3 linked regions of the Callithrix jacchus genome follow. The main gene of each other region encodes a partner of the protein of the gene in region 3 in a complex. Links are inferred from orthologs where the notes say so. Each region holds a gene or a part of one and is shown on either strand. Other genes may lie near its edges.

Evidence for each region.
Region 1: the proteins of NGFR (region 3) and TRADD are in contact, whole or in part, in an NMR structure (PDB 7CSQ), measured with the Homo sapiens proteins. The link is inferred for Callithrix jacchus from reciprocal best matches to the Homo sapiens genes NGFR and TRADD. Residues at the interface, in NP_002498.1 of Homo sapiens: Glu345, Glu346, Glu348, Lys349, Leu350, Asn352, Gly353, Ser354, Ala355, Glu379, Ala380, Cys381, Arg384, Glu420; in NP_001310481.1 of Homo sapiens: Thr201, Phe202, Asn211, Ala275, Glu276, Arg278, Arg279, Thr281, Gln283, Arg284, Glu287.
Region 2: the proteins of NGFR (region 3) and RIPK2 are in contact, whole or in part, in an NMR structure (PDB 2N83), measured with the Homo sapiens proteins. The link is inferred for Callithrix jacchus from reciprocal best matches to the Homo sapiens genes NGFR and RIPK2. Residues at the interface, in NP_002498.1 of Homo sapiens: Gly334, Leu335, Ser338, Leu339, Pro340, Lys343, Val347, Ser354, Ala355, Asp357, Arg360, His361, Gly364, Glu365, Tyr368, Pro370, Ile373, Asp374, Leu398, Asp399, Leu401, Leu402, Arg406, Arg407, Ile408, Gln409, Arg410, Ala411, Asp412, Val414; in NP_003812.1 of Homo sapiens: Gln437, Ser465, Arg466, Asp467, Leu468, Met470, Glu472, Asp495, Ile496, Gln497, Gly498, Glu499, Glu500, Lys503, Ile523, Leu524, Val526, Ser527, Arg528, Ser529, Pro530, Ser531, Leu532, Asn533, Leu534, Gln536.

What each region holds. Positions count from the first base shown.
Region 1 is NC_133521.1:24,663,226-24,666,970, forward strand, and holds the end of TRADD (tumor necrosis factor receptor type 1-associated DEATH domain protein), read right to left. Parts: intron 3,317-3,745; 5' UTR 3,309-3,316; coding exon 3,203-3,308; intron 2,659-3,202; coding exon 2,500-2,658; intron 1,621-2,499; coding exon 1,343-1,620; intron 1,261-1,342; coding exon 1,062-1,260; intron 929-1,061; coding exon 618-928; 3' UTR 287-617; downstream 1-286. UniProt on the Homo sapiens protein: Adapter molecule for TNFRSF1A/TNFR1 that specifically associates with the cytoplasmic domain of activated TNFRSF1A/TNFR1 mediating its interaction with FADD.
Region 2 is NC_133517.1:37,387,860-37,391,504, forward strand, and holds part of RIPK2 (receptor-interacting serine/threonine-protein kinase 2), read right to left. Parts: intron 1,130-3,645; coding exon 976-1,129; intron 1-975.
Region 3 is NC_133506.1:116,811,831-116,815,547, forward strand, and holds the start of NGFR (tumor necrosis factor receptor superfamily member 16), read right to left. Parts: upstream 2,916-3,717; 5' UTR 2,791-2,915; coding exon 2,725-2,790; intron 1-2,724. UniProt on the Homo sapiens protein: Low affinity receptor which can bind to NGF, BDNF, NTF3, and NTF4. Forms a heterodimeric receptor with SORCS2 that binds the precursor forms of NGF, BDNF and NTF3 with high affinity, and has much lower affinity for mature NGF and BDNF.

The sequences.
Region 1 (3,745 bases), on a different chromosome or scaffold from region 3:
CACACCCACCTCTGCACCTAGCTGTGCCACATGGCTCCCCTGGAAGGCTCCAGGCCGGTGCAACTCTGGCCAGCTCTCGAACCAGAAAACCCACCCAACAACCCGCCAACCAATGGCGGCCTGCCAACCAATGGTGGCCCACCCCGTCCCAATCCCGCTCTCCTGGAGCCAATCAGAGCACCCAGCCGTTGCTCCTTCCTCATAGCCATAAAAACCCCACGCCCCAGGAAGCCAGCGCAACTTCTCTGGCCCCCTTTCCCCAGACCAGAGAACCTCGCCCAGGAGCTGAATAAATTGGCATTTAATTTTCTTATACTGGCCTCAGTTTCCTCTTTCTAAACTCGGCAATAACCCTTACAGGTGAGACTGATCTCCGAAGCAGGTCCCCCACACACTCTATCAAAGTACCTGAGGCAGAATCCCCAATGGTGCACCCCCAGGGGGCTCGGTGGGTGCTGGTCTGGCTCCTGGGGAAGGCAGTCAACCCTGCCTCAGCAGGTCCAGCAGATAGGCCAAGTGGGATCTCAGGGTCCCGTGGATGGACAAGGGTTCAGCAATAGCAGCAGAAGGAACCCTAGGGCCATCCAGGTTCTCCAAAAGCTGGCGGCACCCCTGGTCTAGGCCAGGCTGCCATTGGGATCAGTCAGGCCCAGCAAGTCCTCTGCCAGGCTGGTGAGCTCATTCTCCTCAAGTGCCTCCACCAGGCGCTGCAGCGTGGCGCGGCGGCCCTCGGCCTGCACGAAGCGCCGCAGCAGCTGGAAGGCCTGCTCATACAACCCCTCGCGCTCGTACTCATAGGCCAGCGAGTCCAGCGCCGGGTCCCGCAGCGCTCTGCAGCTCCGCTGCAGCGAGCGCCCCACCTTGCGCCACTTTAGGCCCACGGAGCGTGCGAACGTCTGTTGGTCCTGCAGGCTCAGCGGCCGGTTCACTGCAGAAGGAGTGAGGAAGCGGGGTGAGGGGGGCGCCCCAGCGCCTATCCCACCCATCCCCACCCGGCGACGACACTGCTCCTCCCCAGACTCCAATCTCCTGGTGACCCTGCCTCTCCACCTGCCCCTCACCTACAGGCTGACCCTGGAACAGAAAAGTCTGGGCAGGCGTTGGAGGCGGCCGCGGCTTCACCTCCGACAGAGAGGGCACGGGGAGCTGAGAGGGGTCCAAAGAGACCTCCCTGTCGCCACCCTGGGCCCCCAAGCCGCACTTCAGGTTCCTCAGTGCATCCTCCAGCTCAGCCAGTTCTTCGTCCCGGAGCCGGTCGGGCTAAGGGAAGGGAACTTGCCGTCACCAGGGGCTGGGCCTCGGATTCCTGCCCTACCCCATCCTGACCCCAGCCCGGCCGCACCTGCTGGGCTAGGATGCAACTCAAACAGTACTCCTCGTCCGCCAGCAAAGCGTCCAGCCGTTCGGCGCCGGCGCGCAGCTCCAGTTGCAGCGATAGCGAGTGTTGGGAGACGGCGGCCGCCAGGCTCCTCTGCAGCGCGGCGCATAGCGCCCCCTCGCGGTAGGCGCGGAGGAAGCGGCTGCAGGGCTGGCGCCCACAGAATCGCAACTGCACGATCAGCTGCGGGTCGCTGCGATGGATCTTCAGCATCTGCAGCACGTCCGGGCTCCCACCGCTCTCTGCGGAGGCGGGCGGTCAGGCGCCGGGAGGTCAGGCGCCAGACGGTCCCCAAGCTCGGTCATTCTCCCGTGGTCAAGCCCCGTCCCATCCCCTGATCTAGGGTACAGTTACCCTGGAGTACCCAGATGGAAAGCAAAAATTGGGATGCAAACAGCAACAACCCAGAAAGAAGGCCAGGACCTATCACAGGGAGCACCCCAAGACAGAGTGGGTGCCACCTAGCCCCAGCTCCCATGTCCCAAATGAGAGCTGGCAAAAGAGAGTGACTTTGTAGCACAGAAAAGGAAACGTGTTCCCTAGGCTACCAAGCCTTCTGGGTAGGAGGCCAGCAGGGCAGAGGAGGGCGGGAGGTCTCAGGTCTTCAGCCTCCACCAAGCTCGGCTCCCACTGCTCGGGAAGAAGAGAGGGGGGCTCTCGTCGCTCTGAGGCCACGAACTGATCCCCCAACCCGCTTCAGCCTCCTGTGGCCTCTGCCCTGAGATGGGAAAGCGGGGCCTGGAAGGGTAGGTACTGGGGAGGGGTCTTGAGAAAGGAGTGCTGCAGTAAGAGAGGAAAAGAGGAGAGAGGCATCCACAATTAGTAGAAAGGAGTGAGCTGGCTGGTGGAGAGGGCAGGGATGGAGCAAAGGACGTTAGTGCACAAATAGGTAAATCATACACTGACTCGAGGACACATATATACCCTCAAGGTCATGCCACAAAAAGAGAGGACAGAGTCTACACATCCAGGGGTCCTCCGTCTTCCTCCTCCCACCCCAAATCTTTTCCCTAAAGGTGGTTAAGCCCAAGCCCACCTAGTAGAGGACCTGCAGCCTCAGCCCCACCCACAAAATGCCCCAGGCCACTTTTTCCTCTCCACATGCCAGCACACCCACGCACCTGCCAAGGCAGTCTGCAAAGCCCTGTACACTGCCATCTTCTGCTGGGGGTGCACGTAGGCATCCGACAGGACCACCTTGTCCAGCGAGGACTCCACAAACAGGTATGCGCTGCCCACACACTCTTCGTGCCCATTTTGCCCAGCTGCCATCTCACCTCCTGGAGATGCAGACAGTTGGGTATTCAGTTCATCTCCCTCCCTCTGCCCTGGAGACAACTGTCCAGCACCAGGTGGTTCAGCTGTCCCCACCACAGTAGCCTCAAGTCCCACATCGTTCAGGTGTACCCCAACACTAGTTGGCATACTTGGGACAGGAGTTCACCATCTCACAGGCAAGCCCCTTGAGTTCCTGGCTCTGTACAGAGTCCCACCCCAGACTTGCAGAAAGGACTGTCCCCCCACTGCGTTCTCAGGAAAAGAGACCAGCGTCACAGTGGAGGGGGAGCAGAGGTAGATCCTGCAACGGGGCTTCTCTGCCTCCTCCTCAGGCCTCTCTTATCAAAGTGGACAGGAGACACCTTCATTCTGGATGGTGCCCATGCCCCAAAGCCCACCAGGCCCATATCCTGGCCTTGCCTTCTGAATAGACTTGAGTCTAGTATCTCTGGAGGACCTCAGCCTAAGATTAAACCTCCTGTCTTCACTTCAAAGGACACCTGTAGTTTGCATCTACCCAGATTCCCTCCCCAAAGCCTGACTTACCTTTAGGGACTTCCTTTCTCCTTCTTCTCAATTCATGTGCCTGTGTCCCACTCCCTAGCTCCAGGTCAGGCTTGTGCACCATACCTGGCCAATCTGCATATTTCATTCACATTTCTGCAGTGATTAGTTTAGGGTGGAGTATAGGACTAAAGTTGGACCAATGAGAATCAACCCTGCAACTCTGGATGAGCCAATAGGAAAGAGGCATTAATTTCCCTTCCCTTGGGGCTAAACTGGAAGGAAAGGGTAGCCCTTCTTTTCCACTGCTTGGGAAGAGCCTGGCTGAGAGTGAAGCTGACACAGAAAAAAACAATCAAGAGATGGAGAAGTGCACTCCTAACCATACTAGACTCCTGGATCCAGCTGTCCCTGAAGCCATTGCATTTAGACTTTTTAGTTATGTGAGCTAAATAATTCCTTTTAGTTATAAAGTGCTTGGAATTCGGCTCCAGTCATTTCAACACAAATTGTTCTATTCCCTCCCTGTCCAGAAAAAGCCAGAGCCTTTTGGTGCTAGTATCTCCTTCATCCATCTTCTGACAA
Region 2 (3,645 bases), on a different chromosome or scaffold from region 3:
AATATTAGATTTCTACTTATACTCATTTCTCAACAAAAATAAAAAAGAAATTGTGATATATTAATATTTGTATATTGGTTGCTGTGGCAGTTACACAAATCTTACAGACTGACACCAGTTACTTATTCCATCCTTGTTTCAAATGGTCACAAGTCATGAGTAGAATGTGATGTATTCTGAAACAAAGAGAAGGTACTCTATGACTGACTGACAATGGCACCACTTTCCCTTGGTCACTTAGAGCACACTGTGTTACACTATAATTTAGGAGTATCCACTGATTGAATTTTGTAGATTTTTACAATTTTAATTAAGCCAACTCTCACAAAATAGACCAAGTGGTTTAAAAAGATTTATTGAAACTACAGACTCATAATATTAATAATGTAAGCTCAAGCAAACACCCTTAATTGAATACATGTATTTTGAAAATGAGGATTCCTAGATTTGTTTACTCATGAAATTCAGTCAAAGAAAGAGTGAATGGTATCTTGGGAAAAAAGGTAAATGGCTCATACCACTGTCTATTATTAGAAAAGCTAATGTATCTGGCATTCAGAGATAATTTATTAACATTTGGCCTGCTAATTCAGAACTTTATGAACTGGCATTAGTAACAGTAAGTTTGAATTTGAAATTGCTATTAATATAAAATAAAATATCACTTAACAGTGGATTTTACAGTGTACAGAGTTTATCTTTTCCATTTCTATCCATGTAATCTGCATATAAATACTAGAATTTGTTGTAAATGTCAGGAATGGTAACCCAGGCAAAATAATCTAGAGTACAGGGCCTGAATCGACAGTGTTTTAATCAACACAAAAATGTCACAAAAGGTAAACTTTTATCCCTGTAATAGTTTTTCATTTTTCTTCGATTCATCTATATATTCCTGAATAATCTAATCAAATTAAAATCAAAGTAAAATATAGTTTGAATAATAGAAATGGCATGAAAATGTGTAATACTTACTCTATGTAGGAGTTCATTTAATGATCCATTTGGCATGTATTCAGTAACTATTCCCAAAAATTCAGGCTCATTGCAAATTCCCAAAATTGGAAGAATATAACTAAATCTAGCTTTGTGTAAAATTTCGGCTTCTCTTAAGACATCCTTTCTTTCACTAAGAAAAGAAAATGCATAATTACTTCAAGTAATACAAAATATACAATTAACATGCCTGTAAGATTAAGCCTGGATTTTTTCATTAATTAGCTATGTAACCTCATGTAAATTATGCAACTTTTCTGCACCTTAGTTTCATCATATTTAAAATAGAAATAATACCTACCCTATATATTCCACAGGTCTGTTTAGAGACCAAAATAACTTCTACAAGCCACTGATAGGTAAAAGTGCTATACACAGGTTATTATTATTGTACTTTTCCTAAGAAAGGGAAAGAACACAGTATTAACTTTATAAAGTCTGTATTAGAATAATTGGTGCTTGAACAAATTACAGGATTATGTTGTATTCAAATGAACATATTTTATTAGAATATTAAATTTTATGGTTGCATACCATGTAAACATCTTCCAAATATCCTGAATATTAAAATATTTAAATGTTATAGATTTAATAGCTGCATAAAAGTCAATAATATTTATAAATTATATGCCAGAACTCAGGAAAAGAACACTGAGAACAGGTAAATGCTTATTAATAAATTGCTGGTGTAACTCTGGCTCCCAGGTTCATTTACTTATTCATATGTAAAACAAATACATACTTAACTTTTTTTTCCCTATTTTTCTATGTCACTTAGGCTAGAGTCCAGTGGTGTGATCATAGCTTATTATAGACTGGAACTCCTGGATTCAAACAATCCGCCCACCTTAGCGTTCCCAGTAGCTAGCCCTACAGGCATGCTACCGCCTAGTTTTTTTTTTGTAGAGACGAGTTCTCACTATGATGTTGCCCAGGCTGGTCTCAAACTCCTGGGCTCAAGTGATTCTCTAGTTTCAGCCTCCCAAAGTGATGGGATTACAAGTGTGAGCCACCTTGCCTGGCCACATTTAACTTTTATTATGAATAAAGAACTATGATCAGCATTATGGAGAATATATAGATTAAAAAGATACAGTCTTTGCCTTCAAGTTGCTCAGAAATCTTTTAAGAAGAATAAAAATATAAGTCAGAATGTAAAACGTGCCACTAAAAGAGAAAAAGAAACTATGAGGAGTTCAGAAAAAAGAGAGTACATTTGAGGTTAGGGGAGTCATTTACAGAAAAGTAGGATTTTGATCCCAGCTATACCTTAAGAAAGCCGTACCTTAAGACTGGACAGAATTTAAACATTGGAGAGAAGGTACCTAAGACAAATGAGGCCTCCCTTGAGGAGAGGATGTGCCTTTCTTTTTAACCTATATATGCCTACCACTTGGAACAGTGTCCTGGGCATAGTAATATAGGAGATGTCCAATAGGTAGGTATCAAATGAATTCAAGGATGTTAAAGGGAGGGCTATGTTTGGGAAATTGTGAATTGTTTAATGCAGATCAGGATATGTAATATGAAAGGAGGAAGGTGAATAAGACAGGTTAGGGCCATATCTTAGTCTTAAAGCCAGGTTAGGAGGGTAAAACTTAATTTAGCAGTCATTAAATTGTGACTGATGGTGTATTTTGTTTTTGTTTTTTTTTTTAACATACAACACACACACTAGAAACTTACATATTTATTTTTGTGACACACCAGGTCTTGCTATGTTGCCCAGACTAGCCCTCCCTACTTTACCTCCTGAGTAGCCGCGACTACAGAGGTGTGCCAATGTGCCTGGTATGACTGAAAGCTTTTGAGTCAGGGAATGATAGTAGAATAAAATTTTAAGATGATTAACTTGGCAACAAGATGTAGGATCAGGAGAAAGTGTGAGAGTTTGAAATTCAGGTGTTAGGAGATTTTAATACCAGTTAAGATGTAAACCTAAAACCTAAACATAAAACTACAAAGGTAGCAGTGAAAATGGAAAGACAAACACTAGGTGAATAGAATGCTTGTGCTGTGGTGATTGACTATAGGGGATTAAAAAAAAAATGAAAGGGAATTAGAGATGTCATTTTTTTACCCTGGATGATTGGATGTGGGTTGCAGCAATGACAGAAATAGAAATGCTTCCAGGAGACGCCTATTAGGTAAGTAATGATGATAAGTTAATTCTTACACCTCCCAAGCTCTGAATGAATGGTTGTTGAAATATGAACAGCAATAGACATTCAGGACTAGACTAAGAGGACTACTTTAAAAACAAACAAAAAAAGCAAAAAAAAAGTCGTTTATTTTTTGAATAGGTCATATATTTATATTTCTTAAAATTTCAAGAGTAACAAGAAGGCATAAAGTGAAAAGCTTCTTTCATTCTCTCTGTCCGTCAATCACTTAATACTCCAACTGCAAGAAAACCAATTATATCAGTTTGTGAGGCCCATTTTAATTAAATGTCTATTCCCTAAATGGAAATAGGTCTGTATTTGCCCCAACAGATTTGGGCCAACAAGACACAGAGGATGATGACCCTGAAGATTCCTGGATACTAAGAACAATTGAGAGTGGATGCTGCAGAAGTCTCAGTGATACTTTACACACTCTTTCCTCCTCCCATTAAGAGTATGAGGCATTCTTCTTTCCACTGTGATC
Region 3 (3,717 bases):
CACGATTTAATCTCTCAGACTAATGACAGTTTAGCACCTTGACGCCTTCCACGATCTGGAAGGTAGGGGAGGGAGGCAGCCTGGCATATGGAGGAAAGAGAACATCCCAGGCCAAGCATCCCGGCTTTCAACAAAGGTGCCACCACCGAGTCACTCACTGAGGGAGCCTGGTCTCGGGCCTGAAAGTCTGGAATGTTCTGTTTCCTCAACTATGAGGTGGCAATAACTAACTTCACCTTGCTAGGACTTTTTAAGTATTAAATAACTCAAGAGAAAGTACCAGGGCAGTGCGAGCACGTAGTAGGGACTCAGCTCATTCGATTATTCCCACCTCCCCACCCGGGCCCCCAGGGAGGAAGCGAGGCGCTTGAGCCAGACTGGGCTGGTACAGCGGGGTGGGGGCCCATCACCCCGGAGCTACCTCCCCATCCACCATCCACCCCAGCCCGGCAGCTCACGCACGCCCATTTGCTGCCCTCGCTCCATCCGTATTGGGCGCATTAGCCAGCCCGGCGGCTCTGGTTACAGACGTCTGAATGACAAAGTGCCTCCATTACCGGCGCGGCCCGCCAGCCGACCCGCCGGGACGCGCTCTGGTTTCAGCGCTCTCTCGCCGCGGCCCAGGAAGAAACTCGGAACGCGCACAGCTCGCCCAGACGCAGCAGCCGCGCGCAGAGGCGGAGGCGGGAGCCGCAGGGGCTGCAGACGGCAGGTTCCGGTCCGGGTCCACCTTCACCAGCGCCCAGGCTCTCCGCGCCCAGCTCCCCTCCTTCCTTGAGTCTCGGCGCGGGGACCCTCGCTCCTGCTCAGACCGGGAGCCCACGTCGTCGTCCCTCCTCCCCGCCCCCCTGGTCCACGATGTCCCACCCGCAACGGAGCGGTGTCTCTAACCGGCAGCGTTAGTCAGCAGACGTGCCCGCGGTCACTCCCAAATCCCCGGACACGGCCACAGGTCCCGACAGCTCCAAAGAACCGGGGCTGAGCTTTTAGGGTGGGGCCCGCGCCCGGACAGGGTCTCTGCCCACCCTACCCGCAGGCTCCACTGCCACCTGACTCTGGGGAAGGTGTCAAGCCCGCCCCTGCTGGGAAACGCAGCCTTGACCCCGACCTGGGACAGCGGCTGCCCCCTGAAGAGGTGGGGGAGTGCGGAGCTGGGAACCAGGTTGGGGGAGTCTAGCCACAACTCTGGCCCAACTTGCTGTGAGATCTTGGCCAAGTCGTTTAAACTCTCAGAGCCTCAGTCTCCCTATCTGTAAAACCGGGATTTGGAGCGCAGCGCTCAAATGAAAGATGCTGGCAAGGAGAGTGAAGACACCTCCTCCATGGCCAGACCTTCCCGGGCATTCGGTTCATGGCCACACAGCAGGCCACACTTGACAATCTCGTCGGACTGCCGGGAGGACTGAGTCGCCGACCTTGGCCGAGTTGGTGACTCAGGACACGGCGCGGCAGAATCCGAGACGTCCGGGCGCCCCGGTCTCGTTAGGTACCCAGTGGCTTGCACCGAGAGCCAGGCGAGGCGCAGACACGATCCTGACCCTTCGAGGCGCGGGAGCCCACGGAGCGCGGTGGGCGCGGCGCTCGGGTCGCGCATCTCGGTAGGGGGCGGAGCGCAGCCCCAGACTCGCAGGCAGCAGCAGACGGCACTTGCCTCGCCCCGCAGCGCCCCCTGCCGGCTGCCTCCCGCCTGCGCGGGACGGGTCCCCGCCTAGTGCGCCCGGGCGCTCTGCACCCTGAGACGTAGGCGCCGCCAGCCGGGGTCCGGACACACCCGCTCCATTCCTCGCGATCCGCCGCGCTGCTTCAAGCAATGAGAACACGCGCGTCGGAGGAGCCCGCCGGCCATGGGGGAACTTGGGGAGCGGGTTCGACCTGGCGAAGTGGGTGCTCCCCTCCCAGCCTTAGATCGCAGCCACAATTCCGGGACTGGGAGAGGCCATGAGCAGGAGCGCGGGGACAGGCGCGGGAAATGTCCAAGACTCCGCTCTCACTTCTCGTCTCACTGTCCCTCAGTGGGCCCCGATCACTTTAGGGTGCGCGCCCCGCTCCGTCCGCTTTCCTTTTGCTTCCATCTCTCTGCAGCCCTGGCTGTTGCCCCTCTTCTGCCCTCCCTAATCCACTTCTGGTCCCCAACCTCTCCCTCCGACGCCCCTCCCCCCCATTGTCTGGCCGGTCCCCATTGTCCTTGCCGGGTCCCCTCTGCCTCCAATCCCTCCGACCTCCTCCATTGTTCCATCCCCTGGTCCCGGGCTACCCCCCACCAGCCCAGCTCGCCCCTCACATCTCTAGTCCGCTTCCCGTTCCCCGTCCTTTTCTCGCCTGGGTTCCGTCCCGCGACTCTCCAGAGACAGAGATGCTGAGGGGAGAGTCCCTCCGGGATCCCGGCATTGGAGTGTCCTCTTCCGAAGAACCCGGGCATCAGAGAGCCCCATGCCACCTCTCGAAAGACCCCTCCCAGCTCCCTCACCGCCCCCTACGGTACCTGAGGACCGGCATCCGTGCCCCGGTCGTGTCCGCATCTCCACCCTAGACTCAGGGTCGCCTCTGCGCTCCGAGAACCCTAGACCCTCCTTCGTGGTCCCAGCATCAGAGCGCCTCTCCCACCACCCACCCTCAGCATCTGGGACCCCAACGCTCTGTTCTGTTTCCTGGGTGGCGGCGCCCGGCTCTCCTCGGAGTTCTCATCCCGGGAAAGGGAGCGGGCCCCCTCGGGCTAACACTCACCCCCAGAAGCAGCAACAGCAGCAGGCGCGGCCCGTCCATGGCGCGGCCGGTGGCACCTGCCCCCATTGCTCGCCTCCCGCGGCAGCGCAAGGCTTCCAGCTCGGTCCGCTCTGCGGACGGATGGGGCTGCGCTGCGCCGTGCTCCAGCGCACCCCGCGCCCGCCGGAGCTGGCCGCGTCTTGGCTCACTCTGGCCGCGGGCGGGAGGGGCTGGGTGAAGCCAGTGCGGCGGCCCCGCCTCCGCCCCGCCCATCCCGCCCACCCCCGGAACCGCGCCCGCCCGCCCCGCCGCCTTAGGGTGGGGAGCGGAGGCAAAGGGAGGGCGTGCGGTTCCCCGCACCCCGCTGCCACTTCTCCTCGCCTTGTTCCTTAGAACCTCTCACCCATCCCGCCCTGGTACCCAGTTCCCGGCCCGCGCTACTGCGCGTCGGTCCCGGATGCTGTGGGGCCCAGGGCCCAGGGCGTCCCCACTGCGGTTCCCGTTCTCTCCGGCTGCGGCCCGCCGCAGGGTTCATTCTCTTACCCATCTTCCCCCGCCTCTGGCTTCACCTTCTCCCTGGAGCCTCGCTCCCTACCTGGCCACTATCAGTAAGAATGCCCGCTTGCCCTCCCTGCCCTTCATCTCTGTCCATCACCTCATCTCCACCCCTGTGCCCACCTTTCTACTTTCCAGTGAAGAAAGTCCCTGGGCAGAGTCCTAGGGGGAGGGGAAGGGCGCAAGTGGCCTGACTTCGGCCATGGACATTCAAGGTGGAGTCCATTTCCACATTTGATTCTCAAATGAGGGGTTCGAAGGGGTCACAGGTGTGCACACAGCGCACAGGAATACACATTCTCAGGCTCACCTGTAGGTGTGCTTGTGCACTTACGTGTGCCCACACTGTCCTCCATGCACTTGTGCCGACCTGTCTTACACATGCATCTCTGCAGGCATGCACACGCACATATGTTATTCAGACATGCAAAGTGCTTACCTACACATTCACACATGCAT